6 linked regions of the Coturnix japonica genome follow. The protein of the gene in region 1 purifies or fractionates together with the protein of each later gene. This does not show direct contact. Links are inferred from orthologs where the notes say so. Each region holds a gene or a part of one and is shown in the gene's direction. Other genes may lie near its edges. The genes, in order: COPS3, CUL4B, BTBD2, CUL4A, COPS7A and CUL5.

What was found.
Region 2: the proteins of COPS3 (region 1) and CUL4B purify together in Homo sapiens (affinity purification with mass spectrometry; 11 studies listed by BioGRID and IntAct, counting the BioPlex papers as one, with this or other methods). This does not show direct contact. The link is inferred for Coturnix japonica from reciprocal best matches to the Homo sapiens genes COPS3 and CUL4B.
Region 3: the proteins of COPS3 (region 1) and BTBD2 purify together in Homo sapiens (affinity purification with mass spectrometry; 3 studies listed by BioGRID and IntAct, counting the BioPlex papers as one, with this or other methods). This does not show direct contact. The link is inferred for Coturnix japonica from reciprocal best matches to the Homo sapiens genes COPS3 and BTBD2.
Region 4: the proteins of COPS3 (region 1) and CUL4A purify together in Homo sapiens (affinity purification with mass spectrometry; 10 studies listed by BioGRID and IntAct, counting the BioPlex papers as one, with this or other methods). This does not show direct contact. The link is inferred for Coturnix japonica from reciprocal best matches to the Homo sapiens genes COPS3 and CUL4A.
Region 5: the proteins of COPS3 (region 1) and COPS7A purify together in Homo sapiens (affinity purification with mass spectrometry; 14 studies listed by BioGRID and IntAct, counting the BioPlex papers as one, with this or other methods). This does not show direct contact. The link is inferred for Coturnix japonica from reciprocal best matches to the Homo sapiens genes COPS3 and COPS7A.
Region 6: the proteins of COPS3 (region 1) and CUL5 purify together in Homo sapiens (affinity purification with mass spectrometry; 3 studies listed by BioGRID and IntAct, with this or other methods). This does not show direct contact. The link is inferred for Coturnix japonica from reciprocal best matches to the Homo sapiens genes COPS3 and CUL5.

What each region holds. Positions count from the first base shown.
Region 1 is NC_029529.1:4,775,043-4,779,712, reverse strand, and holds part of COPS3 (COP9 signalosome complex subunit 3), read left to right. Parts: intron 1-267; coding exon 268-397; intron 398-1,252; coding exon 1,253-1,365; intron 1,366-1,470; coding exon 1,471-1,520; intron 1,521-2,270; exon of another isoform or gene 2,271-2,338; coding exon 2,339-2,431; intron 2,432-3,149; coding exon 3,150-3,329; intron 3,330-4,529; coding exon 4,530-4,670. UniProt on the Homo sapiens protein: Component of the COP9 signalosome complex (CSN), a complex involved in various cellular and developmental processes.
Region 2 is NC_029519.1:15,291,234-15,296,426, forward strand, and holds the start of CUL4B (cullin-4B), read left to right. Parts: upstream 1-2,087; 5' UTR 2,088-2,153; coding exon 2,154-2,166; intron 2,167-2,886; coding exon 2,887-3,396; intron 3,397-5,193. Other genes in the region: MCTS1 (malignant T-cell-amplified sequence 1), read right to left, coding at 363-515, 740-750.
Region 3 is NC_029543.1:1,316,898-1,322,172, forward strand, and holds the start of BTBD2 (BTB/POZ domain-containing protein 2), read left to right. Parts: upstream 1-1,657; 5' UTR 1,658-1,668; coding exon 1,669-2,222; intron 2,223-4,866; coding exon 4,867-4,986; intron 4,987-5,275.
Region 4 is NC_029516.1:123,871,151-123,875,820, reverse strand, and holds part of CUL4A (cullin-4A), read left to right. Parts: intron 1-2,767; coding exon 2,768-2,940; intron 2,941-3,735; coding exon 3,736-3,888; intron 3,889-4,455; coding exon 4,456-4,551; 3' UTR 4,552-4,670. UniProt on the Homo sapiens protein: Core component of multiple cullin-RING-based E3 ubiquitin-protein ligase complexes which mediate the ubiquitination of target proteins. As a scaffold protein may contribute to catalysis through positioning of the substrate and the ubiquitin-conjugating enzyme.
Region 5 is NC_029516.1:69,466,219-69,471,628, forward strand, and holds COPS7A (COP9 signalosome complex subunit 7a), read left to right. Parts: upstream 1-1,959; 5' UTR 1,960-2,056; coding exon 2,057-2,218; intron 2,219-2,322; coding exon 2,323-2,398; intron 2,399-2,801; coding exon 2,802-2,890; intron 2,891-2,965; coding exon 2,966-3,168; intron 3,169-3,633; coding exon 3,634-3,739; intron 3,740-4,036; coding exon 4,037-4,188; intron 4,189-4,463; coding exon 4,464-4,503; 3' UTR 4,504-4,521; exon of another isoform or gene 4,522-4,848; 3' UTR 4,849-5,079; downstream 5,080-5,410.
Region 6 is NC_029516.1:161,331,834-161,336,998, reverse strand, and holds the start of CUL5 (cullin-5), read left to right. Parts: upstream 1-1,648; 5' UTR 1,649-1,930; coding exon 1,931-1,954; intron 1,955-5,165. UniProt on the Homo sapiens protein: Core component of multiple cullin-5-RING E3 ubiquitin-protein ligase complexes (ECS complexes, also named CRL5 complexes), which mediate the ubiquitination and subsequent proteasomal degradation of target proteins.

The sequences.
Region 1 (4,670 bases):
TAGTGTCGCTATGAGATCCTGAAGTCCTCTATAATGAGGCAGATTGATGCTGCTGCTCATGTTCTGCGGGTTTCCTTTGCTGTCAGAAGCTTCTCTGCCACCTTATTTTTTGAGAACTGGTGCCTAACATACTGCAGAGCAATCAGTTGTGTGGGTGATTCTATGTTATCCTCATTTGTTTTATTTTATTGGGATTCGGTGTAATGAAGCATGGGAATGCATGTGTGTTTTTTAACTGGACTCTGACAAGGATGCTTTTTATTTCAGGGCAAATGACCCAGCTTTGTGAGCTGATCAATAAGAGCGGAGAACTGCTAGCAAAAAACCTCTCCCATCTGGATACAGTGCTTGGAGCCCTGGATGTGCAGGAACACTCATTAGGAGTTCTTGCTGTCTTGTAAGCATGGCTTTCTGTTAATTAACCATTACAGCATCAAAACTTCAAGCTACATGCTGAATTGCCAACCAAGCCTCTTCAGTCTCTTGCAGAATAGTGCTTAGTTTCCTTTAGTCATATATCTTTTATTAGAAGAAATGTTTAAGCAAATTTGTGCTTTCAACAGAAAAAAAATGTGGAGCCTGTAAAATATCATCACTTCCAAATGGTGATTTTTTTCCTTAAGGCTGTATCTGTTTCTCGTTTATGCCTGTATGAGTGTTTTTACCTTCAGCAAAAAAGTACAGGACTTCTAATTGGCAGGACATGAGTGAGCCAAACTGTAAGCATGAAGCCACGTGCAGAGTTCTCATTGCACACAGGTAGTGTAATCACAACTCATGGGAGAAGCACCGTGGAACTCTACAGCTTGTAGGGTGCTGAGGAACCAGCAGGGATGGAGAGAAAGTGAAAGTGAAGAGAAAGAGCTCTTAGCAAGACATAGAAGTCTAATCAAGTAATAGTTGATAAATCTGTGGTACATTCAAGTGGGTGTCTGGAGAAGTTATGTGGTTTAGTTTAAAAACTTCACTGTTAGATATTTATTGTGATTATAATTGTAGCAGGTAAAGAGGTCTTTGTTCATAGCTAGTTCCTACCTAGTTTTTAATTAGATTCATAGTAGAACTATGCATTGAGAGTGTACTTCCAAGTGCTGTGCAGCTCTTGGGGAAATCATATGCCATCTGTCGTGACCACTTTGGCGCTTCTTGCAAGCAGTTACCTGTATCTGCAGAGACTGAAGATAAAACATTTTGGTTTTCTTTAATTAATCTCTGAATGTTATGTGTTAAACTTTTTTTGGTCTTGTTTTAGGTTTGTGAAGTTTTCTATGCCCAGCATCCCCGATTTCGAAACATTATTCTCACAAGTGCAGCTCTTCATCAGTACTTGTAATGGGGAACACATTAGATATGCAACAGACACTTGTAAGTTAATTCAGCTTGTTATAGAAAAATCTTTTTATATATTGATAATAGGTTGGTATTATTGGTAGTCTTGTTTTACTGAATTCTTTTGTTTTCTCTGTTTAGTTGCTGGCCTGTGCCACCAGTTAACAAATGCTCTTGTGGAGAGAAAACAGGTGAGCAAATATCATCTAATACAAATACGGAGCCTACAAAGCTATGTTCTTAAAAAGGACATTACTTGCTTCATAAAGGTTTACTGCTAACTTCATGTAAACTATTTTTGTGTGACTCCTTATGTAAGTTAAGTCTACTGAGCAGTAATGAACTTAAAAGACGATTTTAAAACCTCTTTAAAGAAAATATAAGTTAAAATGTGGGGGGAAGTTAGCTAAAAACATGCTCTCACACCATGAAATCAGGTGTACCAGGGTTGTTATTCAGATGGTGTGTGTGCATGAGTAGAGGGGAGCTGCAAAAACTAATAGAGCCAATGAGTCAGAGAGATGTTTCAGCGTTCTTCTCACCAATCTTACACAATGTTCTTAATGAAATGCCTTAAAGTGTAGGGGACATTTCTTTTTAGGGGTTAGGTGTTGAAAATGTCTTGGAAAAGTAAGTTAAATCTGGCTTGAATGAAGAGATCAAATCTGGACTAAGTGAAGTGGGAGATTTGCCTTTATTTGCTAGGAATTTAGATGGACTCATGGAGTCAATAAAAGGTTTACTCAGAACAGTTTACTGTTTTCCTGGTGAACTTGTCTTTGTGGAGCAGAATTGGTGACCTTGTTTAGTTGATCAGGAGAAGTTACATACCATGGGCTTATTGTGTTTTCTGAGTGACTGCAATGTCCTACAAAAAGGGAACCACAAGTTAATCATTACTTAACGGAACCTGTCAATTAGTGTTATTTTTCATTTGTAAGTGTCAACATAAGATCCAATGTGCTGCCATCTATGAGAAATTATCTGAAAGAGATGTAATTTCTGACAGCCCCTTCGAGGAATTAGCATTCTCAGACAAGCCATAGACAAGATGCAGATGAACACAAACCAGCTGACCTCAATACATGCAGATCTCTGCCAGGTAAGAGGAACACGGGGCTTTTTTCTGAGGGTGAAAGCTTGTAGAGTACCTGTAGCTGTTTGATAAATGCATGTTCATGTATTGCAGTGTAAAGAAAGCTTTAGGTTTTGTGATGTTGGTTTTTTTAATTCTTTTCCAGTAGTCTGTTATGTGGTATACTGAAATAAAACTCCCTTCTCTTCCTATTAAATGTTCAGCACTTGTCTCTAGATTTTAGTTTTGTTCATGACTTCTGAAAGTCCTTCTCTATGGGCTGGAAGTTGTGCACAGCTTCTCTTAGACAGTGTAAGTGTACTGGCCAAATACTGTTTGCTCGAGTCTGACAAAAGGCATGTTTGTCTCTGTGTCTTTGGCCTGGATTTGCACTCCTGTCTCATTCTTGGCTCCTGGGACTTAGAATTGGATGAGAATGTTGAGTGCAATATTTTGTGCTGCCAGCACGGTAGTTTGGAAGGCCTGGAGTTTCAGGCTGCTTTGTCGCTTAGTCTGATTTCTTTAGGATTCACATAATTTCCAGAAGTTTACAATCTGTTTTTTTTCCAAATACCACAATACGATGTATAATCCATGTTATGCCTCTACTGTGACATACATACTGTTTCTTTAACTCTCAGAGGAGTGAGGCATACTAAATACTACTACATGAATTGAATTTCAATGTCATCTTTGTGGGTATTTGAAATAGCTAATTTAAGAAACTTGATTTGTTTTCTTGTAGCTCTGTTTGTTAGCAAAATGCTTTAAACCTGCCCTCCCATATCTAGATGTGGACATGATGGATATTTGTAAAGAAAATGGGGCATACGATGCAAAGCACTTTTTATGTTATTACTACTATGGTGGGATGATATACACTGGGCTAAAGAACTTTGAAAGAGCACTCTACTTCTACGAACAGGTAACTTTAAAACTGATCAGCCTCAATTGTGGTGCATTGAAAAGCAAAAATGGCACATATAATGCCACTGGGATAATGAGTCATCTCTGAATTGCCACGAAGGACAGAATAGAAAGCTGTGTACCTTGTATAAAATACAAACAGTCTGATTATTTTTGTTCTTAACCTTTAGGATGCAGTTCTATTAATAGACCTGTACTTCTGTCCATCATTCACGTTGGATTTGCTTTTCTATCTGTGTGCATTGTAACTGTGTATAAAACCGATTGGGGTTCATTTTTATTTATCAGCTGTTTCATAAGGAGTATAGACTAAATGGTGCTCTTGGTGTACAGAGTGAAGTAACAAACTGAATTTAGAAGTGTTATCTTCTTAGAAAGTCACAGCCAAGCAACTAATGCACCATAAAGCTATGCAACTCAAAGGTTGATGTTAAATTTATCTCACTATAAATATTTTCAAGTGCCCGCTTATTACTGCTCGCCTAGAAACAGGCTGGTACTCAGAACTGTGTCTTTTCAAAGAGCACGATGGCTTTGCTTCTCAGCTTTTCTAATTTTTTGATGGAAGTTACAGTTCGTGCCTGTTATAATAAGGATTGTTTTATTTCTTCTTTGAAAGAAGAGAGAATGGCAAAATTCAAGGAACTCAGTGAGGAAAAACTTTGTCAAATGTGCAAAATAAACTAGTGCAGCATTTGTTTATAAGGCCAGGTAGGCTGTTGAGTAGCAATATTGGGGTGAACTAAAATTGCTGCTTACTGTTCTGCAAGCCTCTTCCATCATGGTTAAATAAGAGGTTGCATGATATCTCTTATGAAATCCTTGTAAGGATGTGTGCAAATTCAGCTTTCATGGGATCATTCCTTGTTACTAGTAGCCACTGGTGATTTACAGTCCAATGTTAGATACATATAAAACAAAGAAATTTTGCTTTGATCTTAACAGGGCTTTTTAAGTTAGGCATTACTGTAATATATGACGTTTTGAGTACTTCATATAGAACTTTAGTTGTTTGTTTTTTTAGTATGTTTTAGATAGTTACTTTTGACACAAGTTAAGCTGTAACACTCAGGAGTGAATCTAATGTGTCAGCGCATCCTTTGTGCATGCAGGTTTAAACTGAGATGTTGTTAATGCAGCTACTGCATTTTACCAATGAGAATATTAAACTTGTTTCATTTCTTTCTCTCTTGCTTAGGCAATAACTACTCCAGCCATGGCAGTTAGTCATATTATGTTGGAATCATATAAAAAGTATATTCTAGTTTCTTTGATACTACTTGGCAAAGTTCAACAGCTACCAAAATACACTTCCCAGATAGTTGGTAGGTTCATTAAG
Region 2 (5,193 bases), on another chromosome or scaffold:
CTGTTCTGTAGACAGACAGACAGACAGCTGATCACAAAAGCCAGCAAAAATATCATATCCTCTAATAAAATAAAACAGTTTGATCTTCTGAAGCCATAAAGCTGAATGCTTCCCTTCAACAACAAGCCAGTCCCAAGAGAGTCACCATACAGGTCCAGATGTTTACCAGCAGGCATTCCCATTTTCCTCCAGCACCCTACAAGCATGTTTTCAACAGCATGATAAGCACACACAGGCACTTCTACCTACAAGAATGAATACATCCTTTTAAAGCCCCTAGGCTGTTCTCCTACAGAAAGTCAGCATATACATGAAGCAACCCAAGCACGTTGGAAACAGAGGTTAAACAAAAAGAAACTCACCATCTTACTATTTTGACGGGGTCTTTCTTTGGCATGATTTGGTTTAGCCATGGTTCGATAACAGGAAATTGGTCTATCAGCTGGTTCTTAATACCTTTAATAACTGAAGTCTTCAGCTGGATACAGTTCGATACGTTCTCCTTTTCATCAAATCTGCCGAGCAAAAACATTTCAGAAACACTGAATTAGCTGCCCAAACGACGTAACGTTTACAGATATTAACAACATAATGTGCCCAACTTTGAGATACAAGCTTACAAGAGCCGTGACGCCGGCCCCGGCCCTATTGCTGAGGCGGACGGAGCGCCGGGCCCGGCCGAGCGCACTCACAGGGCCCATAGCGGCCTCCTACAATCAGCCCAACCAACCCCACTCACTTTTTGAACATCCTGGGACGGTGGGAGCCGGGACAGCGAGATCCTGTGCCGGGCGTGGACCGGCGGGCGCGGGGCGGGCTGCCGGGACTCCGCGCTCCCTCACACGAGGTCCCGGCCCTCCCCCTCCAGCGCCAGCCGGAAACGCCGCGCGCTTTACGGCATGTCGCGCCGCTGTATGACAACGGAACTGCTGAGGCTGGGAGGAGTGGTCATTGAGAGCAGATCGGCTGAGAACGACCTGGGGGTCCTGATAGATGAGAAACTTAACGTGAGCCAGCAGTGCGCACTGGCAGCACGGAAAGCAAATGGGATCCTGGGCTCCATCAGGAGAGGGGTGGTCAGCAGGGATAGGGAGGTGATCGTCGCTCTCTACTCGGCTCTTGTGAGGCCCCATCTGGAGTACTGTGTCCAGGTGTGTAGCCCTCAGTACAAGAAATACATGGAGATTTTGGAAAGGGTCCAGAGGAGGGCCACGAAGATGATCAGGGGGCTGGAGCACCTCCCCTATGAGGACAGGCTGAGGGAGTTGGGTTTGTTCAGCCTGGAGAAGAGAAGGTTGCGAGGTGACCTCATTGCAGCCTTTCAGTACCTGAAGGGAACTTACTCCCAGGAGGGGAGTAAACTCTTCGAAAGGGCTGATAATAGCAGGACTAGGGGAAATGGTTTTAAGTTAAAAGAGGGAAGATTTAGGTTGGATGTTAGGGGGAAATTCTTCACTAGGAGAGTGGTTCGGCCCTGGAACAGGCTGCCCAGGGAGGTTGTGGATGCCCCGTCCTTGGAGGTGTTCAAGACCAGGTTGGACGGGGCCCTGGGCAACCTGATCTAGTAAAGGTGTATGTTTGGTGGCCCTGCCAGGCAGGGGGGTTGGAACTACATGATCCTTGAGGTCCCTTCCAACCCGGGACATTCTGTGATTCTGTGAATGGAACGCGCTGTGTCTCTGTGCATGTGCATGGATGGCAAAGCAGGATGCGGCTGTCTCGCAGTACAGCCGAGGAAGGGCCGTGCTCATCCATAGGGCGGTGTGATGCTGTGATGGAACGTGCTGACACCGCGCTCTGCTCCCAAAGGCTTCAGAGTCACCGGCATGAAAGATCAGGCCACCATCCGAGCACCTTTTCTATATCAAATCAACCGCGATACATAGCATCCACACAACGTTCAGCCAAGCTTCCACGCGTGGCACAGTCTATTTAAGCGCTGTGATACAGCCGGTTCAGGACTCAAACACCGAACAAACCCCTCACGAACCACGCACGGCACTGCGCCCGCACCGCGCATGCGCACAACGCCGGCCTCAGCCACAACGGCGCCGCCATAGGCCACGCCCCCTATAGGCCACGCCCCTCATAGGCCCCGCCCTGCGCCGGCGCGCGAGGGTTCCGGCGGGCGGCCGTTATAGCGGCCGGCAACCATGATCACTTCCGGTAGGTCAGAGGGCAGGCAGCCGGCGGCCGTGTTGAGGCGTTGGCTGCGGGGCAGCGCGAGGGAGCGGCGGGACGAGCGGGCGGGAGGGAGGAAGGGCGGAACCCGGCGGGCAGGGCCGCGCCGCTGGGACCGCGGGGCCGAAGCGGGGCCCGTCGGGCGGCCGCGCCCCGGCATGCACAGCGAGCGGATGCGCCGCCATCTTTAGGCTCCCTTCCCCGCCTGGAGTGACAATAACAAGCACCGGGCCCGGCCGCCCCGGCAGCGCCCCGGCAGCGGAGAGGGGCGGGCGGGAGCCCTGCGGAGGAGCGGGCGGCGGGGGCCGCGCTGAGGGCGCTGAGGCCGGGGCGCTGTTGGCCCCGCTCGGCCGAGCAGAGGTGGCGGGGCGGCGGGGAACCGCTGGGGCCGGAGAACGGCGCTGAGAAGAGCCCGAGGGTGGACGGAGGTGGGGGAGGAAGCGCTGCTTTGAGGGCGGGAGACGGAGGAGAGCCGCGAAGAGAAACGGAGTCACAAAGAGAAGGAGATCCGGTGTTTCCTCCGAGGGATAAGAAGGAGAAGGAGGGGGAATACCGAGGGACTGTGTCGATAAGGAGAGAGGAGTTAAAAGACTCCGCTGAGAGACGCCACCGGAGGCTGACGGAAGAGCTCTGTCCTCTTTGTCGCGCTGCCAGGATTTGATGCCCGTCAGCCTGCTCATTTCTGTGTGTTCATGTTTCCCACAGGTTTCTCTTCCCCCAACCCCTCCACTGCAGCTCAGGAGGTCAGGCCCGCCACTGATGGTAGTAGCGGCAGCAGCTCCTCCTGCAAGAAGAGAAAGTTAAATAATAGCAACTCTGAAAGAGAGGAATTCGATTCCATTTCCTCCTGCTCGTCATCTCCTTCCAAAAACAACTCCTCCTCGTCTTCTTTAGTCATCACCGCCTCTTCGTGCTCCTCCTCGGGGGTCGCCTCCTCCAACCATCACCTCCAGAAGAAGCTGCGCTTTGAGGACTCCTTGGATTTTATCGGACTCGATGTGAAGATGGCTGAAGAGTCTTCTTCCTCCTCCTCTCCCGCTGCCTCTTCTCAACAGCAGCACCAACAGCAGCTCAAAAATAAAAGCCTTTTAATTTCTTCAGTGGCCGTAGGGCACCATGCCAACGGCCTGACCAAAGCTGCCTCCTCTACTGTGTCCAGTTTCGCCAACAGTAAACCTGGCTCCGCTAAGAAATTAGTGATCAAGAACTTTAAAGGTAACAGACCATAATTCCTCACAATCTCTGCGGAGCTGCCGCTCAACTCTGTGTTTTGTTTTCAACATGAAAACCTGGTTGGCTTTCAAATAGCTCCAGGTTTTACAGGAAATGCTTTTTTGTGGTAAACATTCTTAGACTTATGTAAAGGGGGGTTATGTTGATGATGCGTCCTTGCCCGATCACGTGCACATCTGAGCCAGACTTCCCTGCTTGGGCTTATTGTTCTGACTGCATTCACTCTGTTGAGGAGAAGGCCCTTTCTAGTATCTTGAAGGAAACATTTTACTGCCTAAGTGTGTAAATCACCTTTGATCAAACTTCTGAGGTTTGAAAGCACTTTTCCAGTAACCCAGACTCAGGGTATACAGTATATTTTAGCCTTGTTTATGGTAAGTCTTTGCAAAGTATCCTTAAAAAAAAAAAAGACTTGAATCTCCATGTCTTGCCCACGTGTATTTTGTCTGTTTGTAGGTTAATCCGCTTGTGCTTAGTTTTAAATGTTGAAACTAAGGTGATTATCCAGCTCTTAAGGCGGATTTCCTTTCTGCTTCTCCTACTTGACTTCAGAGTAGGTAGTTCAGACTTTTGCAGGTTATTTTTCTTGCAGTATCATCACTGCTGTGCTTATTGCTTAATTTTTTAGCATCTTTTCTACTTTAATATGCTCTTCCTTTTTTTTTTTTCTTTTCAAATTTACATTGTTTTGTAGTTTCTCAACCAACATGGTGGAGCTTTTCCAATGTTGTTACTTGAGATCAACTGAAGCAGGGAAATGAAGCTTTCTGATGTGAATTCAGCATGATATTCTAATGAACAAAATTGAACTAGGTGAAGGCAGCGATCCTAGCTAAAATTCTGTAGTTTTTATCCTAAAAAACGTCTGAGAATTGTGAGATTTTCTTGTTAGTCCATTCTTCCCTTTCAAAGTAATTCAAGAACTTACTTTCCTGAGTGGTTTTGTTTTTCTTCTTATGTTTGGGTGGGAGAAGAGAGGGCTTAAAGGTCTGACAGAGATTAAAACGTATTTCTAAAGAGGCGGTTGATACAAATGTGCTGTAGAGATAGCACAGAAGGTGAGGATTAAGGATTACCTGAGCCACTGTAATGTTCCAGTGTGACTTTTTGCTTTAAGGACTACTTAATTCTCAAGAATGTTCCCAGTCTGTTTCCCGTGCTGCCATGTCACCATCTGTTAATTTGGTTGCCTTAAAACCTTGTACTTAGGGTGCATGATGGCAAGAAATAAATGCTGCCACTGCATGTACTTTGTTATTTTTAAGAGAAGGCAACTTTTCACATTGAAAATATTAACTACATGCCAGGGATGACATGGAGCTGCAATCATCATTGCTTATAAATTGCTCTTGGAATCACTTCCTTAAAAAGAATGTCTTGAGAATCTGCATCTCTGGTTTTTATTTATGCTCATATGCCAAGATGACTAATAATCGTAGTGTGCTTTTGTCTGCGATAGCAATACACGTCCTTTACATCTTCCTAAGATTCAGTATGTTGCTATTTACTCCTGTATGTCGTATTCATTGCAGGCTAGTGGAAATGAGCAAGTCCCAGTTGTAGCGAGTTGTCTCTGTACGGTACAGTCAGTGTTGGGATATTGCCATTACTGTAGGGAAATGTTTGGGAGGGGGAAGTAAACAGAAGAAGGATTATTTTTTTTTATCCCCAAGAGAAATGATAAAGCTTTGAGGTGTTTGGTGGGGTTTGTTGTTGTTGCTGTTGGTTTTTACCTTTAAGTTTGCAAAGTCCATTAGAGTGCAGTCAACTTCACTTGTT
Region 3 (5,275 bases), on another chromosome or scaffold:
CTTCCATCGACCTGCCTTGTAACCATCAGGCCACAAAATGACTCATTTTCATTTGTTTCATTGCACGCAGGGCTCTAATTAGCTGCCTGCACAGTGACCAAAGGCTGCTTGCTCCATGCAGTGTCCATACAGGGCCAAGCAGCAGCCTGCAGCTCCCTCTGATGTTTGCAGCTAAACACAAGGAGGACAGAGCGAAAAAACACAGCTTTGAGTGAAAAAACCAACGCTGAAATGCATGGAAAGCAGCTCCGCCAGCAAAAGGGGTGTAAGGCTGCGACGTGATGCAAGGAGAAGGTGTTTGTGTGTCCATGTTCAGTGCTCGGTTATCAGTCATAGCAGGAAGATTTCAGAGGTAAAGCAGCTTCCCTCTCGAGGCTGCCGTGCATTCCTGCATGCAGAAGGGTCAGTTAATGGCCGGCTCTGGGCACTAGCATAGCTGTGGGTAATGGGAGTTCCCCCCAATTAGGATAATGCAGCAGAAACCTGCCGGGTGTGCACTGCAGCAAAGCCGTCCATCCACACCGGTGTGTTGCAGCCACAGAGATCGATCCCATGAGGTCCCTCAGCTGTGCAGGGTTTCAAAGCTCCGACCCTATACCAGGTACAGCTCCGTGTGGCAGCAGAGGGGCAGGCAGTGCACTGCTGCAGTGGAGGGATGCACCAGCACTGTGTGTTTGCTTCCCACCCCTCCCCTATCTCCCCCTGTGCCCTCAAATCTGCCCCTTTCCCCTCACATCTGCCCCTCAGACCCCTCAGATCTGCCCCAGACCCCAGAACTGCCCCTCAGAGCCACTTATCTCCCTCACAACCTCCCATTCTCCCTTCACAACTGCCCACCCCTCCCCTATCTACCCCTTTCCCCTCACATCTACCCCTTTTATTCAAATCTGCCCCTTTTACCTCAATTCTGCCCCTCACACCCCTCACAACTGCCCACCCCCCCCTATCTGCCCCTATGCCCTCAAATCTGCCCCTTTTACCTCAAATCTACCCCTTTTACCTCAAATCTACCCCTCACACCCCTCACAACTGCCCACCCCTCCCCTATCTGCCCCTTTCCCCTCAAATCTACCCCTTTTACCTCAAATCTACCCTTTTCCCCTCAAATCTGCCCCTTTTACCTCAAATCTACCTCTTTTACCTCAAATCTGCCCCTCACACCCCTCACAACTGCCCACCCCTCCCCTATCTGCCCCTTTCCCCTCAAATCTACCCCTTTTACCTCAAATCTACCCCTTTTACCTCAAATCTACCCCTTTTACCTCAAATCTACCTCTTTTACCTCAAATCTGCCCCTCATACCCCTCACAACTGCCCACCCCTCCCCTATCTGCCCCTGTGCCCTCAAATCTACCCATTTTACCTCAAATCTACCCCTTTCACCTCAAATCTGCCCCTTTTACCTCAAATCTACCTCTTTTACCTCAAATCTACCCCTTTCCCCTCACATCTACCCCTTTTACCTCAAATCTGCCCCTTTTACCTCAAATCTACACCTATGCCCTCAAATCTACCTCTTTTACCTCAAATCTGCCCCTTTTACCTCACATCTGCCCCTTTCCCCCTCACATCTGCCCCCCCCTCCCCTCAGAACCGCCCCCTCCCCTCACTCCCCCGCCTTCGCCCCGCCCCTCCCCTCACCCCTTTCCCCCTCCTCCCTTCCCCTCCATGCCGCGGTGCTGCCCCGCTCTGTTCCTCTCCCCCCGTCCCACCGCCGCCCCCATCCCCTCCATCCCTTCCTCTATCTCCTTCTCCCCGTTCCATCCCGCCGCCGTGTCCCGCCCGCCTCTTGTGGTGCTGCTGCTCCTGCAGCGCCGCCCCGCGCCGAGCCGCGCTCCGCACAAGATGGCGGCCGGCGGGAGCGGCCCCGGGGGTCTGTCCTCATCCTGCCCTCAACCCCCACCGCCTCCCCCGGGGAACGGAGCGGCCTGTGCCGCCTCAGCCGCTTCCGAAGGAACCCCAGCATCTCCAACGGGACTCACCTATAACCAGTGCGGAGCCAACAACCCTACGGCGACGGCTGGAGGAGGAGGAGGAGGAGGCCTGGGAGTGGGGGCGGCCCCTCCGGGCGGAGGGCTGCAAAGAGAACCGGTGTATAATTGGCAGGCGACTAAACCGACGGTGCAGGAACGATTCGCTTTTCTCTTCAATAACGAGGTGCTGAGCGACGTGCATTTCCTGGTGGGGAAAGGCCGAGGGACGCAGCGCATCCCGGCACACAGGTGGGGAGAGCAGGCCTGAGGGGGGGGAGAGCCGTGGGGAGGCCTTAAAGGGGATGTATATCGGGGATATAGGGGGGTGGAGGCCTTAAAGGGGATTATAGGGATATACGGGGGTGAGCCCTTAAAGGGATGTATAGGGGATATAGGGGGTGGGAGGCCTTAAAGGGATGTATAGGGGATATAGGGGGGATATGGGGGGGTGGGAGGCCTTAAAGGGGATGTATAGGGGATATAGGGGGGTGGGAGGCCTTAAAGGGGATGTATAGGGGATAATAGGGGGGCATATGGCGGGGGCTGTGGAAGGCCCTTAAACCGGGGAATTGCTAATAAGGGGATAATAGGGGGTGGGAGGCCTTAAAGGGGATGTATAGGGGATATAAGGGGGTGGGAGGCCTTAAAGGGGATGTATAGGGGATATAGGGGGATATGGGGGGCTGTGTTTGGGTTGTGGAGGTGAGAGCCGAGTGTAGGCCCTGGGGGGTGCATAGAGGGAGTGGGGTGTGGAGAGAGCCGGGTTTAGGGTGTGTAGGTATAGGGAGAGCCGTGGGTAGGCCCTAAGGGGGATGTAGGGAGATGGGGAGGGCAATGGGATGGGTTTAGGTTGTGGAGGTGTAGGTGAGGTGGGGAGGGCCACATTTAGGGTCTGAAGGTGAGGGAAGAGCCATGTGTAGGGTATGATGGTGAGGGCAGGACTGTGGGTAGGTTATGGGATGATGAGGAGGGCCCTAAGGGGAGAGCTGTGTTTAGGGGCTGAAGGTAAAGGGAAGGACGTGGATTGCTGGGGGTGGAGAGGGGAGAGCCTGGTTTAGGTTGTGAAGGTGAGGGCCATGTGTAAGCCCTTGGGTTGGGGGCATAGAGGGGATGGGGAGGGCTGTGGGTGTGGGGAGTGGGATGTGGGGATATCCATGTTTGGGGTCTGGAGGTGAGGGGAGAGCCTTGAATAGGCCCTAGAGGAGGTATGGGGGGAACGGAGGGGAGAAATGGGGAAAGTCATGGTTAGAGTGTGAAGGTGAGGGGAGAGCTGTATGTAGGGCCCAGAATGGGGTGGGGGAGCGGGATGGGTTGGGATGTGGGAAGAGCCATGTATGGGGGCACTCAGCCCATAGATGAGAACAGCCCCAAAGTGAAACACTCCTTAATTGCTCTGTGATCCCTGGGCGGTGAAGGTAGAACAGAGCGTGCCATGCCATGACATCCCACACAGGGACTGCATAGAGCTTAATGACACACGTGTCGCTCTGTTCCTGTGTCAGGATGGGTATTTTGGGGTTTCCAGGATGGGTATTTTGGGGTTTCTCTGCAGCTGTGGGGTGGTTGTGGCTCTGCAGTGTTCTGTTGTTGGTGTTACCGTGGTGCTGTGGGCACAGAGCTGAGCTGGGTGCTCCTTAGCAAGGGGAAGGAGATGCCACATAGAGAGGGGTTTTCTTACCTCGTGTCCCTCTCGTGCTGTAAGGAAACTGAAAAATCTCTGATCTTGCAGAGTTTGGAGCACTGTTGTGTCTTTCCCATTTGGGTTCAGCAATGTGAAACAAACCGGACCGGCCTTTCCATGAGTGGAATGGGAGTAGAGATTGGAGAGCTTCTTTCATGCAAACACCCCTTTCAGATCACTCTGCTCTGTGTTGCCTATGAGAATGGCAAACTTAGAGTGCAATTAGTTGATGTTAATTGTTAGTAGGAAGTAGAGCCTGCAACTGTCTCACCATCGTCGCAGAATGTGCCTCTTGTGCTTTCCTTCCTGCCGTGCTTTGTCCCCAGCTCTCCTTCCCAACACAAGCAATGCTGCCTGGCACAGCACTGCACCCGTGGGAGCCTTGTGCATGGGGGACAGAGCAGCAAGGGACCAAGCAAGAAACTGGATGGAAACCGAGGAGGAATAAAAAAGCTGCTGTGTCACTTCCTACCGCAGTAAACTCCAACCAGAGCTCCCTGGTGGCAATGGACTTCCTGGGAGCCCGAGAGCCGGAGCGTTGTGCCTCGTGCCTTCCGTCACGTACCGCCTTCTACCTCTCTCCATCGAAGCGTGCACCCAGCTCTGCTGCACTGGGAGCTGCCGTGCTTCCCAGCTTCTTCCTTTCCATAATGGGTCAGGGAATTAGTTGGAGTCTTTGCTTCCCCACTGCTGGTGGCTGCTCAGTGCCTTGGCTTCAGGGAACAGCTGAGCACATCCACCAGGACCCAAGTGCTTCCCTGGGGAAGCCCAGCTCTGCCTTCCCAGCAGTTCTCAGAGGTGCTTGGCAGTGGTTTCAATAACAGCAGCCCAGCTCTGTGCCTGCCCCTGGAGCAGGAGCTGGTGGTTGTTGGTGAGGGATGGCACCGTGTTCACACCGGGTTCTTTTCAGCCTCAAACCTGGTTTGTGGGAATCCTTGCTTCCTACATTCAGAGCAGCTGCATGCGTTCTGCTCCACCATGCACAAAACCTTGTGAACCACTGGGATGCTGTCTGCAGGGCTCAGGTTGTTTGCAACACTGGTGTTTTCTCATTAAATGAAAGAAAACAGTGACGTTCCCTTCTCTTGCAAAACATGCTGTCAGCAGCTCCCCTCCCTTGGGGAGCCCCTGGGGACCAGCAGCCAGTTGGGATTTCTGTGTGTATGAGCCTGGTTTAACATCAGCTTTTTGGGCTTTGTTTTGTGGTTTTAGGTTTGTGCTGGCTGTGGGCAGCGCCGTCTTCGATGCCATGTTCAATGGTGGGATGGCCACAACTTCCACAGAGATCGAGCTGCCCGACGTGGAGCCCGCTGCCTTCCTGGCTCTGCTGAAGTAAGCTGCTAATGCACGTCACACCGGGATGGCTGGATTGATTGTAGAGAGGAGTGCTTCCAATGAAAGCACTGAACCATTCTGTGAGCTGGAGGTCGTATGTTTCTAAATAAACCTCTCTGCCAATCCGTCTGAGGGCTTTAAACGCTGCTGCTAAATCCCTCTTTTCTGGGTAACATCTGGTCCAGCTGATGCCCAGAAATATCTGCCTGGCTTCATCTTGAGGTGTAGCAGGCATTAAACAAACACACCTTCCCAGCACTTGTTGCTCTGTGTGCTGGGAGGAGGA
Region 4 (4,670 bases), on another chromosome or scaffold:
TCTTAGAGGCATCATGAATAATGTGCAGGAGTGAGATGTAAAGCATTTGGGATTTTCCAATGTTAGAAAAATCTGTTGGGTAACTCTGGTAATCTCCCTTCTCCTATTGGAACTTTCACAGCGGTTCCTCAGGCTTCTCAGTCAGTGTATCCCCAGCTCCTTTGCTGACTGCAGCAGGAGATGGAGCCAACCAGATCAGTATTTTTGTGGTCTACCTGAGAGTCATACTGAAGCTAATATGAAGAGACTATCAGTTTGTGTGGCAGAAGCCAGTGAGATGGTATGACTCATAGCTTTCAATTGTTTGAGGAAAGCACTTCACACAGTAAAGCTGAGCAATCTGCATTCCTCTCTGCACTTGGTAGGAGAGCACAGCCACAGGACAGAGCATCAGTTAATTCATATCAGTCAGTTGTGATCCTACTATGTGTGCTATACAGAGGTGAAAATGGTATCTTCTGTGATTCTGCTATTCAGACTCTTAGTCATTTATGCAGTTTCTGTATTAGCTACATTGCTGGATTTACAGGTTTGTTTTCTAAACGGCCTGTACTTAAAGTAGGTGAGTGTCTGGGTTTCTAAACTCCTGGGCATTGAAATAACCAGAAGACTGGTCACTATCTGTGTTATAGACTTTGTCTATTGCGTCTTTAAGTCCCATTTAACACCAAATGTCTACACTGTTCTGGGACAAAACATGGACTGTCGCCACATTTACACACAACCCCACCCACCCCAAAGATATCCCATTTGTCTTCACATCCCTTTGTCTTTATCCATATAGAACATAGAATCATAGAACAGCCCAAGTTGCAAGGGACCCACAAGGATTCAGTTCCTTTCCCACACAGGAGCACTCAAAAAAACAAACCCTGTGTCTGTGGGTGTTTCCTTGAATGCTGACAGCATGGTGCTGTGCCTGCGCACCAAAAGACTTCAGCCTCTCCTCACACACCCTACAGACCTCTCCCCACTTTCACAGCCATCCTTTGGACACTCTAACAATGTTATATCCTTACATTTTGGAACCCACATACAGTGCAGAGTAGGACAGCCCTCCTCACCTGGCAGCAGTGCTGGGCCTGGTGCACCTCAGGGCACGGTTGGCCCTTTGGGCTGGCAGGGCTCACTGCTGGCTCACATTCAACGTCCTACTAGCCACAGCCCCCAAGATCCTTTTGTATGGGGCTGCTTCCTAGTCCCTCAACCCATCCATACATTAAGATCAAGGGAATAACAACAGCATACGGCACCATACAGAAAATATAAATGATTAAAATGTGCCACATAAAAGTAATATAAAAATAAAAGATTAGGAACCTCAACAGTATGCTACCTATGAAGAATTAATTAGGTAAAGCTGGGACTTTTGTTTTGCACTCACAGTTAGGATAAATTATACCCGGTCTCTTTAGAAGATACGAGATTGCTGCTGATAGACTGATATAGTTAGAAAATATATCAACTGACACCCAGAGAAAGAGTGGTTACCTGCTCTTTGGTTGCTGTGCTTCTTTGAGACATACTGTCCAAATATATTCCAGTTTTTCCTGCCTTTCTCATTATTGAGAAAGCCTCTCTGAAATAAATGCGTTTCCTGCTTTTCCTTGCATGATTGAAAGGCAATTTTGAGTTCCTTGCCCTTTGGCACTCTGTGACCTGCAGTTTCACACGCACAGCAGAAGCAAAGCTCTGGAGGGTACTGGGGTTTGTAATGGCAGCCTTGCACAGTGGCATGGGTTCTATTTGGGCAAAAACACATCAGCAGTCTGCATTTACTGAAAGTGAAAAGCCTAAAAAGTGTGAAACAGGGTTTTTTAATAATGAAAGAATATATGGAAGATGTTCTGTTGAGTTGTTGAACATCATTCTGTGTGAACATGTAAGCTAAAGTATTTTAGAAATAACAAGCATTCCACTTTAGCTCATCCATTCCGTGCAGTTCAGCACTGCATTGCAAAACGTTTGTTTTAACTTGTAGACTTTTTGGATCTGAAACATTTGGTGCTAATTTTGTGTTATGAGTAAAAGTATTCCAGAGACCGCAGAGACTGTTTTAATGCCAAATCCTGAGACGTCTTTGCAAGATAATTACTAGAATGTTTTAGGCTTCATTTATCTACTCGTCCAAGTGCTTTTAGCTTTAAATCTTAATAGATAAAATTTCCTTTGCCCGCTTGTTTCCACTCCTTTCCTATTGTGGAGAAGTTTAATGGATATAATAGCTGTCAGCGGCACCTTCTGAGCTGATAGAAAGATGTTTGGTAAGACTTCTCTCCTATTTTCTTCTTTGTTTTTCATTTGTGTTTATATTTGCATCTGATGTATAAAAAAAGCAATGAAATCACCTAAAATGAGTGGTTTAATTTTCTTGTTGTGATCAGCTGATTTTTCTATCGATGTCCTGTTACTGCCAAACAAATCTGCAGCGATAACACCAGGCTTGTGTTGCCGAGATATTGTTTTTCTGACACTGCTGCTAGATAGAAGCTTTGTTGAGGTGATCCCTATGTTCCTGTCAGGTCTGTATTCTTAACTTGTGCAGCTCTGTGCACACTTGCAGTGCACACACTCAGCACTTACCTATGAGATGCGTGAGGCCAAGCTTGAAGGCTGTATGCTGTTGTGTAATCAGAACTTAGCTTGGAAGAACACATTAATATAAAAACCAGTAATTTTTTTTCATTCTATGCCTAATTTAATTGCATTAAACTTTTCATACTAATGTTTTGCTCTCTTTTCTCCTATACTTTGAATTTGTTCACAGAGGACAGTGAATTAAGAAGAACCTTGCAGTCTCTAGCTTGTGGGAAAGCACGAGTACTGATTAAAAATCCAAAGGGCAAGGATGTAGAAGATGGAGACAAATTCATCTTTAATGGTGATTTCAAGCATAAATTGTTTAGAATAAAGATCAATCAAATCCAGATGAAAGAAACAGTATGTATTTATTTTTGCATTCATTCTGGTTAACTGTTTATCCATGTCCCACGTGGAGAGACAGAATCTCTGCATTTCCTCTCATAGCTTTTGTATTATTAGAAGGGAAATGTACTTTAATTTTTTGGTAGGGAGGATGACTCACTGATTGTAAATCCCACTGAAATCAAAACAATTCAGATTCCTTCCTTTGCCTACAAAATCAAATGCTATTATATTGAACTGATGGTGTGGTCTTGCAGATGTTTTGTGTCTTACAAGTTTTCATGGTACAGCTGAAGAGCTGTTACTACATTGAACTCATGACTCAACTGTCACTGTGTCACTTTTCTTTATTACGAGGGCAAGAAGGCTATTAAAAGGTCAGGGTTGTCCCCTCGTTTGTAGTGGATGTCCTTGTTTTACTCAATTCCCAGTTCTGGATGCAAGATGATACGTTTTAATTAGTATTGAGTTGTTCCCTTTTGGCCTTTGTCTGTGAAAATTAAAAAGTAGGTTCGAGTTGAGCAGTTTTGTGCAGAAGACAGTGTTTAGACTGTCAAATTCTTGTGTGTTCTTCTGAAAATATGAAGGGAGTTCTTATAAGTTGGTTTATCAGATTTAAAATATGACGTGATCTTTATTTAGATCTTTAATTTTATATTTGACTTGCTTCAGCAGCACACTTCAGAATCACTTAGTTCTTAGCAAGCAGTAATGTATGTAACTGTCCCGTAGGCAATAAAACTACAGAAATATCGTGGATAAAATGATAGCAATAAAAGGTGATACTTGTGGTTTCATATTGTTCTTTAGGTCGAGGAACAGGTTAGCACAACTGAAAGAGTATTTCAAGACAGACAATATCAGATTGATGCTGCCATTGTACGAATAATGAAGATGAGAAAGACTCTCGGTCACAATCTCCTTGTTTCTGAATTGTACAACCAACTGAAATTCCCAGTAAAGGTAATGGATTTTGTTTTTCAGACCATCCTAGGATTAAGTATTAGAATGAGCCAAGGTATCAGAAGTGACGTATCGGCCAATTAACCTGACTTATCCCTCGACTGTCCAGGGGAGAGACACGAACATGGATGCCATGATGTCTTCTCTCAATTTATTGCTGCATCACACTCCTTATATACGATCCTAAATCCCGCGCAGATGCGTACACCTGCTACACAAAACCCAATGCACACGAGAGAACCTGTACACACACCTACCTAAACCCCCCACCCACTAACTCTTAACCCACAGGCCTAACTCAGCTATTCTAGAACACTCCATCTACTCAGAACTACTGTATGCACTCATAAATCCTTGCAAAGACAACCTAGTACCCCAACACAGAAGAAAACAGTTTACCCATTTAGTGTGGCTCATTTTCTTAATGTAGTTTTTAGCTGTCCTGTTTTTTGTTGTTGTTTTGTTTTCATCTGTGAGGTTTTTGTTTGTTTTGGTGGAGGCTTTTTAAATAAAATAGATTGGAATTCGTATGATTAACTGTTCTACTGATCTCATCTTTTCTTGAAGCCTGGAGACTTGAAAAAGAGGATCGAATCTCTCATTGACAGAGACTATATGGAGAGAGACAAAGACAACCCCAATCAGTACCACTACGTTGCATAACGAAGAGGAAATACATATCCAAAAAAAAAACCAAACAACCACAAAAAGAAAAAAACATCATCCAAATATATCTTCAGGACAACAAATACTTATGCTGTTCAGGACTTTATTTTTAGCAG
Region 5 (5,410 bases), on another chromosome or scaffold:
AGTGAGTCACCATTTAATTCAGCGCTTGGTGAGCAGCCATGTTTTATTCTGACACAGTTTGCTGAAGACACAAATATTGTTAGTGCTAAAAATAACGAGGGTAGGGCCAGTGCAGAATGACCTGTTGCACTGCTAAGGAGGTCACTCTCATAAAACTTCCTGTAAGCCAGATGAGAGCAATGAAAAGGAAAAGATGGCCATGAAATAGATAAGACCACGTCTACAGTGAACAACTTTCAGTGCTGAAAATAAAAAGGTGATCTTCAAAGGAATCAGACAGAAAACAAACAAACAAACAGCACAATCCCTGTGGACAATGCTGTAGAAGTGCCTGGCCGTGCAAAGACAAGACTTAGGAGAAGAAGGGAGATGATCAGGCCACTCTGTGACCTGGGCAATGCTGAAATTCATGCTTTAAAAATAACTTTGAATCAAAGATGACCTGAAGGCCGCAGATCTCAGTGATTTAAGGAGGTCAACCTGTTTAACTTATCAAAAAGCAGAAAGAGACACGACCTGACTACAGCACGACTTCCTTCCTGGAGAAAAGCATAGCAGGTATTCTGGCAGAGAATAAACAAGAGCCGGTCGCTGGAGAATGCCTTATTGCAGACACGAGCCACCATGTGATGTGAAAGGTCCTTTCTCTGCTGGAGAATCATGACTGGAGGCTGTCTGTCCTGATCTGCAAATTCCCGAGGGCTGTGAGAGTACATGGGAATAAGAGTTACTGCGCAGGCACCGTCCTCTTAAACTCCTTTGTGAGCAATAGGTGTGAGGCTGCCCTAGATGTAACTAGGCACAGGTCTTACCACCCTGTGTGTTAACCTAGTACAAGTTACGTGGTTAAAAACTTTCCCCATCACGTTGTCTGGCAAAGAGATTTGCCCCATCCTCCCTCGTCCTTACAAGCTTTTTGCCCAGGACTCTGTGGCATAGAGTTGTGAAAAATCATCACAGATCTGGACTATGTTTGGGGAAGGGCTAGAGATCAAAATATTGGCAGCGTTTTGACAAGCCAGTTTGATTTTGCATCTAAGGATGAACAAAGACTTTGCTAAGTTATGGGCAAGACACCGTGCGCTCACACGAGTGGTTGCATATTCAGAGATGATGATGGCCTTCTCATTAAGGGAGCTCGGGTAGTGATTCATTCCTTGCCCTTATTTTAGCTCCGTGCAGGACAAAAGAGAAGAAACACTGTGGTGACCCAGCAAAGAGCACACAAGACCCGGGGTCGGTGCAGAGGGAGGCTGCTGCAGCTGGGATGCTCGGGCTGCTTCGCTTTATCGAACTAATAATGAAAGGCAGCAAGCGTGTCAGAGAGTGTGAGAGAAACAGATCGATAGGGAGATAAAACTGAGATGGAAGGAGCTGGTGAGGGGGTGGGGGAGAGAGCAAGACATGCTACAGAGCAGCAGGGCTACACTTAGACCTGGTCAGAACACAACCTGCCCCGCTGTAGGTGGGTGCGTCAGGTGTCAGGGCGTGGTGAAGCACACGGACAGGGAGGTGAAGGCAGGAAGGTGGTGGTTGTACCTTGCACTGATGCTGCCCTGCTTCACCTTGTCAGCCCTTCTCCTCCTTCATTCCGCCGTAAGGAGCACCGCAGGCCTCGCTATCTATCACAGCCCTTCCCCACAGCCCCAGCCACAGCGATACTGTGAGCGGCGAGTGACCTCCAGCCGAGCGGCGGGGCCGCCACCATTATAACTCAGCCTTCCACCTCGGCCCTCCCAGCGCCGCTCCCCTCACGCCGGCAGCCTCAGCGTACAGACCGAGCTCCAGCCCGGCCCCGAGCTCCGAGGAGCCCAGCGGGGCCGGGACGGGACGGCAACCCCGGGCCAGGACCGTGAGCTGCCCGCTGCACCGCGCAGTCCTCCTCCGACAGGGGGCGCCCCAAACTCTGCCCGCCCGGCGTCACACCCGGAAGCGGGCGGGCTGCGACGGCGCCGCCATAGAGGAGAGGGCTCGGGGCGGGCTGGAGGTGGCGCCCGGTGGCGGGGCCGGGGCCTGCGGGACGCCAGCGCGGCGGGGCCGAGTGCCCGGCAGCGGGATGGCGGCCGAGGGGAAGGTGACGGGGCAGAGCCAGGAGCAGTTCCTGCTGCTGGCCAAGGCCGCCCGCGGCGCCGCGCTCGCCAGCCTCATCCATCAGGTGCTGGAGGCCCCGGGTATCTACGTCTTCGGGGAGCTGCTGGATATGCCGGCCGTACGCGAGGTGAGCCCTGCCCTGTGCCCTGCCCTGTGCCGTGTGCCCTGCCCTGCCCTGCCCGCGGCTGGGCCTGGGCCGCGGTGTGGCCTGACTCGCCTTCTGTCCCGCAGCTGGCCGACTCCGAGTTCTCTCCTGTCTTCCACCTGCTCACCATCTTCGCCTACGGCACCTACGCCGACTACCTGGGTGAGGTCGGGCTTGGGGAATCGTGCCCTAAGCCGCAGAGCTGGGAGCGAGGTTGGGTTTGGGCGTGAGGCCGAGGAGGCCATGGAGGGGTCCAAAAACATCTGGGCAATGGTGTTTGCGAGGGGTGGGGGGAGGACTGGGGGATTCATTGGGATGTAGAGGTCTCCATAAATAAGGTGTGGGACAGCTTGGGGAGGTGGCTTCAAACGGAGGAGAGGCTGCTCAGTGAAGGTCCTTTGAGCTGTGGATTAATGGTGACGGCCTGCTAAGACAAAGCATCACTTTGGGAGCCGTTGTGATGCAGTTCTGAGAAATGGGACTGGGGCAAATGCTTCCGTTGCGGGACTGGGAAATAGAACATGAGGTATAAATTCTAATGCCCCGTCCTTCCCTTTGGCAACAGCTGAAGCAGCAAACCTCCCTCCCCTGACAGAGGCTCAGAAGAACAAACTGAGGCACCTGTCGGTCGTCACTCTGGCTGCAAAGATCAAGGTAATGCCCCTATTTTACCTCTAGTTTTCCTTCTTCTGAGTTTACCTTGTGTTAGTTACCATCATGTCTCTGCAGTGCATCCCCTATTCGGTGCTGCTGGAGCAGTTACAGCTGAAGAACGTCCGGCAGCTAGAGGACCTCGTGATCGAGGCGGTGTATGCAGATGTGCTGCGAGGGAGCTTGGATCAGCGGAACCAACGCCTGGAGGTGGATTACAGCATTGGGAGGGACATCCGGAGGGAGGAGCTAAGCACCATCACCCGCACATTGCAGGAGTGGTGAGGAGGAAGCCGCCCATACTAACACCTTCAAAGGTTGCAGGAGTGGTCAGGGGCTTCACCAGATCATCCTTTGTGTGTTGCTGGGGGGCAGCGTAGCAAAGTGACCTCTGTCTCCTTTCCCAAATGGCAGTGGAAAATAGTTTCCACTATCCAACGTTCTTCCACATTGGAGGGGTGAGGAAAGGAGCAGCAGTTTTTGCATCCAGCTCCAGCTGCTGGCAAGAGTCTTTCTGAGTATACATCTGTAGCTCTTAACCTAGTGCCGCTTTGTTATGTGTCTCCCTCCTAGGTAATAATGTCACTACATTATTGCTTTGGACTGCCACCCCTGTGCCTACCCTGCCTAGAGTAGCTGTTACCTTCCAGGTTTTATTGGTCTTTACAGTTCAACCAGTCATCTTCATGTTTCTTTCCCTGCAGTACCAATTACCTGTCCTGTTCAGCTTAACATTTTCTCTACAGGTGCCAGGGCTGCGAGGTTGTCTTGTCTGGCATTGAAGAACAGGTTAGCCGAGCCAACCAACACAAAGAACAACAGCTGGCACTTAAGCAGCAGATAGAGAGTGAGGTGAGTGGGCTGAAGAGGGAGAGGAGGAGGCATTACCCCTTGCTTAAAGAAAGAGTGGAACCAATACCCTGTTGTTACTATAGCCCTTGTTCGAGGGCTATAGTATAGTATATATACTATATAGGGCTAAGGCATTACCCTAGGCTGAAACCCTCCGGGGTAGTTATGCTTGAGGAAGAATTGGGAGTCACTTAAGCACTTCTCAGCAGTGCAAAGCTCTGGACAAAATAAAAGGGAGGAGGAAAAAAAGATAATAACTTGAGAAATTCCTTGGTTCTTGTTTTACTGCTGTTGCAGGTGGCGAATCTGAAGAAGACAATTAAAGTGACAACAGCAGCTGCTGCAGCAGCCACCTCTCAAGACCCAGAACAGCACCTCACAGAGCTCAGGGAACCTGCCCCTGGCACCAACCAGCGCCAGACCAGCAAGAAGACTTCCAAAGCCAAAGGGTGAGGAATGGTGGCAAACAAACGTAGCCACTGCCTAATGTGTGTTGAGGGGAGTTCTGTTTTGTAGCACTGAGGTCACTGCAGGGGTCTACACCCCAGGCCTGGAATGGTCCAAGCTGACCTCCACCTCTGGCTAATTCAGGGGGTGCAGCTCTTGATCTGAAGCACAGTTCATAAGCCTTCCCTGAATGCCAGCTGTTCTCTGTGTACGCTTAGAAAAGGAAGTCAGAGATGAAGTTTAGTGTCCAGTCTAAAACTTCTTCCTCTCTCCGCAGGCTCCGGGGCAGTGCGAAGATTTGGTCTAAATCAAACTAGTTGGATCTCCCTTCACAGGTGGGAGGGTGAGAGGAAGAGACTTGGGACTCTTGCTACCCCTCCATCTACTAAGTGTGATGCTTCTGAGCTCATCTCTGAGATCTGTCTTGCCAACTAATTCTCCTGCATGTACTCTTTTCTGTCTTCTTCACTTCCTTTCTGGGCAGTGCTTCCCACCTTTTAATCATGACATTTCACACTCTAAGCTTCCAGTTGAATGCATTGCTGTTTTCCCCTACCCCTCAAGGTTCCATCACCACAATCCCATTTCTTTCTCTCTCCCCGCCTTTTGACAGGTCAATTTATAGAGTCATAACAGTCCGTCTGTCACCTTTGCATCTGTAGGGCATCACAGAAGCTTGGGAAGAGTGCACTGGTGCTCAGCAATCATTTTGGCTCTCTGAGACCCCTGGGACACCTCGTTCCAGGATGCAGCTGCCATCTTGGATTGTTTAATCTTTGTTTTGCTAGGTGGGAGGGTAGTTTTTTGAAGGGATTCTTTTAAAAGAATATAAATATATTATAAATAAATATATAAACAATAAAAATATAGATCTATGGACATATCTATACAAACTCGTGCTCCTTTGTTGCTGTCTCTTTACCTCATATACTGATTCTTAGACATCTTAAAATAAGCCACGATAATGAGAGCCCTTTGGCATTGCTCAACCTGTTCTTCGATGGCACCAAGAGTCTGGCTGATTAAATATATATCCAGCAAACTTGTCTGCTGTGAGGTACCCGGAATAAAGCCATCACGTTCATCAGAGGATGCATCTGTGAGACTGGCTTGGAGCAGAGGCAGCCAGCTGTGCGTGTCACACTGCATGACGGCTCTGTGGCTGGGTAAGCTGATCTAAACTGACACTGTGACTCCTACACCCACTCAGCTCTGCCTGTGCTG
Region 6 (5,165 bases), on another chromosome or scaffold:
AGTGCTATGGAACAGCCCAAATTCATTCAGTTCAAACAGTGTCTAAGCAAAATCTGCAGTTATGAAATTCTAATGACTTGCATTGTGGTTTTGTACTCTAAGCTCTGCACCAAAGAGAACCAGGAGGAAGTTCTCCATGGAGCACTATTTCTGGCACATTTCTGTTTGGTTGGTTGGTTTTTTTTCTGGGTAAATGATGTCTAATTTCTTCCACACAAAAAGAAAGTTGAAAAACATCACCAAATAGTGGCATTATAACCAAGCATGTTCTTAAAAATTAAGAGAGGTGATAGAAACAGAAAGGAAAACCGAATCTCAAATAATTGCAAATAGTCTCATTTCAAAAGAGCTTGAGGAAAAGAGGATGGACCAGGTCATGGGGCAGTGGCCAGAGATGTCTACATCCACACCACAGCCTATAGAATACCTGCCTGTATCTCAGCTTCTCTGGTTCACAGACAAAGGTACCTGTAATGCAGTACTCACACTGTGCTTAATGCACACATACACAATGCACACATTCTACTGACCTTGCCAGAGACCTCATAATATCAGCACTGCTGTGGAATATGTACACAATGGACAGTATGTGATACACTTCCATCTGTATTATCTAGTTATATACAATACATACCATTGTATAGTTGCATGCTTTATGTATACAATGAATATTGCATATATACTTAAATGAAAGTTATATTTATTCCATATAACAGACTTATTGAAGTATTCTGAGACTGGAAACTTTGTCAAATAAGAAACTTTCCAGTACCTCTGTGTTACTTCTCAGTTAGGAGAAGGCCTTGATTAGGCTATTTATTAATATAATAAGGCTGCAGGCCTTAGTTAGTCAACACTACTTAAATTTTCAGAGAGCAGAGATTTGTTGAATGTTGAATGTAGCTTTTCTATGTAGCTAACACCTTAGGGGCTCTATGCCTTACAGTGTGCGGGGTGACCTCATTGCAGCCTTTCAGTACCTGAAGGGACACTTCCCAGGAGGGAGTAAACTCTTCGAAAGGGCTGACAATAGCAGGACACGGAAAATGGATCCAAGTTAAGAGGGAAGATTTAGGTTGGATGTTAGGGGAGGTTCTTTACTAGAGAGATGTGGTTAGGCCCTGGAACAGGCTGCCCAGGGAGTTGTGGATGCCCCGTCCTTGTGGGTGTTTACAGACACAGGTTGGACGGGCCCTGGGCAACCTGATCTAGTTAAAGGTTATGTTTGGTGGCCCTGCCAGGCAGGGGGGTTGGAACTACATGATCCTTGAGGTCCCTTCAACCCGGGTCATTCTGTGATTCTGTGTAAGCAGAGGGAGGTGTAGGGCTCTGTCCTGAGAGGTCAGAGGAAAGTTGAATTGTTTTCTTTAAGATACGTTTTGGATGAAGGATGCCTTTTTAAACAGGAAAGTAAAATTATGGCTCCTATGGCCACACGCTGAAGAATCACCGAACAGAAAAGCTGGGAAGCCTGAAGGGTCCATGAGGAAAAGCGCCCACCCCCCCGGGCGCCCTCAGCTGGGGGAGCGCTCTCGGGGGTCGGCGGCGGCCAGGGGTCGCTGCAGGCGGAGCTCCCGCCCGGGCCTCCCTCCGCGCTTGGCGGCGGGGCCGGCTCGGCGGCGCCGCATCATGTGGGCCGGCCCCTTCCATGGAGCCGGGGCTGCTGCCGAGCGCCTCCTGGGCGGACGCCGCCATGAGGCTCTGAGGGGCGGCTGCGTGCGGAGGAGCCACCCGGTAGAGCTGCGGAGCGCCCCGAGCACGGTGCCGGCCTCGCCCCCGGGCAGGGGAACCCGGAGCTGCGGCCGCTGCTCCTGCTGCCGCCGCCGCGGGTCGGGCCGGGCGGGCGGGCGGCCCGCGGCCATGTAAAGCGGCGGCGGCCGGGGCAGAGCCGAGCACGGGGAGAGGAGCCGCCGTCGGCGGGGGGGAGATCATGGCGACGTCTAATCTCTTAAAGGTGAGAGCGGGGCCCGGCCCGGCCCTGCGCGCGGGGAGAGGCGGCCGGGGCCGGGCTCTGGGGCTGCCCCGCACCGGCTGGGCCTGCGGGCGGCGGCACGGGCAGGCCGCGGCGCTGCGCCCCGGGCGGAGGGGGCGGCCCGGGCCCGGCCTCGGCTGTGCGGCTCGGGGCTCGGCTCGGGGCTCGGCTCGGGGCCCGGCCGGGCCGTGGCCTCCCGCTCCCGGCTCTGTCCGCCCGGGCTGCAGGACGGGGTCGGCCCTTTGTTTATTGCGGGGAACCCCGCGGTGCAGAAAAGGAGTTTAGAGTTGAACAAAGAGTTGGGCAATGCCTTCGCCGCGAGCAGGTGTCGCCGGTCGGGTTGCCGGCGCGTTCTGGCCTTTTCCTTTCTGCTAACTGCGCTTTGCTGCGAAGGAAAAACTCCTCGAGGCCTTTAATCGGCTCCGCTTTGGGGGTCAGATGTTCTCAGGCCCGTTCCCGGTGTTTGGTGGCAGATGTCACTCACCCCAAACCGAGCCAAGTTCGCACACAAGTTTTGGCTGTCACAGGCCGTGCCCGGCCCGGGGCTGCCCGGCCTGAGCTGGGCGGCGTGTGCGGGGACCGGGCCTTCTGTGGCCTCCAGGGCTGTGCCAACGTGCCCGGGGCCGGCCTGCCCCACACAGCTGCTCCTGGGGCGTCAGCCTGATTGAGGTGCGAGGCCTTCACAAGGCACCAGGTTTACTTACTTGCAGCAGTTAGCACTATAAAATGGCTGTATATTTAGAAGTGTATGTGTGGCCGGTTCTATGTATTATACTTAAGTAGAGTTCTGAGGAGGTGCTGCTTGCATTTCGCCAACCTGACCTGTGCTGGGTTTGTGGGTTTGCCCTGAAGCTGTTCTGAGACACTCAGTGAGAAGGAAAGAGGAATAATCAATAGCCTCATGTCTTCCTCACGCACATATACACACGCTCATATATATATAAATTTATTGAAATTGACATGCAATGAAAATGAGTTTTCATTCAATTTTCCTCCCTGTTGTCTAGATATTAAAGCAGATAAGACCAAACCGACTGAATTCAGGACTGCAGGAGAAAAGCTCCACGTCCCGCTCAGAGCTATAGGGGCAAAAAGGGGGTTTCTTTAGGAGAGCGTGGCTTTAAAGCTTGGACAAGCTCAGACAATGTGTCTGCTTGTTATTGCTTTAGTCCACTGCTGAGGGGCTCTGGAAAGGCCTATGTGTGCTGTGACAAGACGTGGCTGTATAGCTTGTAATAGCTGGAAACAGGCCTGTGAGATCTGTCAGCATTCCTCTTCAGCTCATAGGAAAGAATAAGTGAATGCTAAGTGCAAATAGAGTCAAAGGCCTTGCTGTTGTGAGATGGCTCTCACTGATCTGAAGCTGTTTTGTTGCTGTAGTGGCATCCCTGCAGTTGGCCTTTAAATCATTAGCATTTTAAATGGACAGAAAGATACACGTGCACAGTGTGTTTCCGGAACAATGCTACCAGGGGGTTTAGAGCACCTGGGAGTATTTTCTAAGCCGTATGTCTTATTAATTAGGGAGTTTTCTAAAGACAATGAACTACGACTGTTGCCTCGTGAAAGAGAAGGTCATACAGTGATTTGGCTTTGTTTGTAATGACACACTAAACCAATAAGATAATTGTGACTGGATAAGGGCTTTTGTTCCCCAGCTGTGATGCTCAGTGTGCTCCCATTGCTGTTGATTGCAGGTTGTTGCCCATTGGCAGTGCCTTATGCTGACTGAGATTTGTGAAATGCAATTCTGCTTTCATGTTTAGGGCAAAGAAAGAATAAAAAAAGAAAGAAAAAGCAAACAGTGTCCTCTGCATAGTGAAAACGTATCAGGTTTTTTGGTATTAAAAACAAAACCCCAACACACGATCAAACCCACGTCAGGTTTAGGCGGGTCTCAGTTTTGTTGGGATAAACAGGAACTGAGAGTTTGCTGCTTTTCCCCGTCTTCCCTCAACCTTCTGCACAGCCGAGAAAATGAAGTGAAATGCTCCTTTCTTACTCTTGTAGTGAATCCTGGCTGAGCCGATCCCTGACAGCCTCTCATCCCTTCACAGGGCGTCGCTTCATCTTTGCTAGTGCAGTTTTTAATTGTGAAAGGTGAATTAATTTGTAGGGCAGGTGTTGGAGCGTCAGCTGTTGGCTTTGAGGTGACGATTGGTGATGTGAAGGCACACGGGTTTCTCTGCAGCTCCTGGGACAGAAAGCGGCTCAGCTTATCACAGCGCCAAGGAAACCTGTAGCTGTACCCACGTGAGCTGGTCTTGATGCTTCTGTAGGGCTTGTTGGAGCTGCTGGAGGTGGCAGCAAATGCAAGAGTTGGTGAGAGCAAGTTGAATTGCAGTCTGAGCCTGGTGTTAGGGGGGAGGCAGCAAAACAAGTAGGTTTGCAGTAGGCTTAAATGAGAACCATGATCTACCTTTCATTTGTTTCAGCTGTGTTTTGTGGGTCGTAGTGCTCTGTCACTTAAAACTGGAAACATTTCTGCATTTTTCTAGTTCTTCAACCTAAAATATTTCCAGATACGTTAAGTTTCTCCTGCCTATTTCCAATTAGAGCAGCTTGTGGTGAATGCTGCGTTCCACGTAGTTGCACAGCGGAGCTTTCCCCATGGCTGTCTTTCTGCTTTGTGTAATGGCTTTGCTATGATCATCTCACTGATATTTAGAGCTGCTGGGAGCAGAGAGGAATCAGAATGGGAATTCTGCTTACTGTAGGCTGGGACCTCATCTGTCCTACCTCATTCCTTCTGAATTAGCCTTAATATACAATGACTGTAAACAGCTCAGTAGTAAAAGCACAGACATATGGAAATGTACTCAGTGATGGAGGATGCTGCATTTTCACAGTACTGCGCGGTGCATCTGATGGAGATCAATACTCTATGTGGCCTATAGTATTGAGTGTACACAGTAAAAAGCATTGGGTGGCTGAGTGAATGTTTCAAGTACAGAGGAACAGCAGCACGGAGACCGCTGGGGCCTGCCTGGCCTGGCAGCCTCGCTCTCCTCATCCCTAGGCTGGCTCCTGGTGTGTTCTGCATTTATTTAGGACCTCACTCCACACTCTGTGCCTGTTCCTGCTCTGCTTCTCTTCACCTTTATTTTTACAGAGTGGAGATTGGTGTTATGCAGTAGGACCCACGTCAGGAGAGCTGTTGGTCTTAGAGTGCACTGTTGGAAGTCGGGGTATA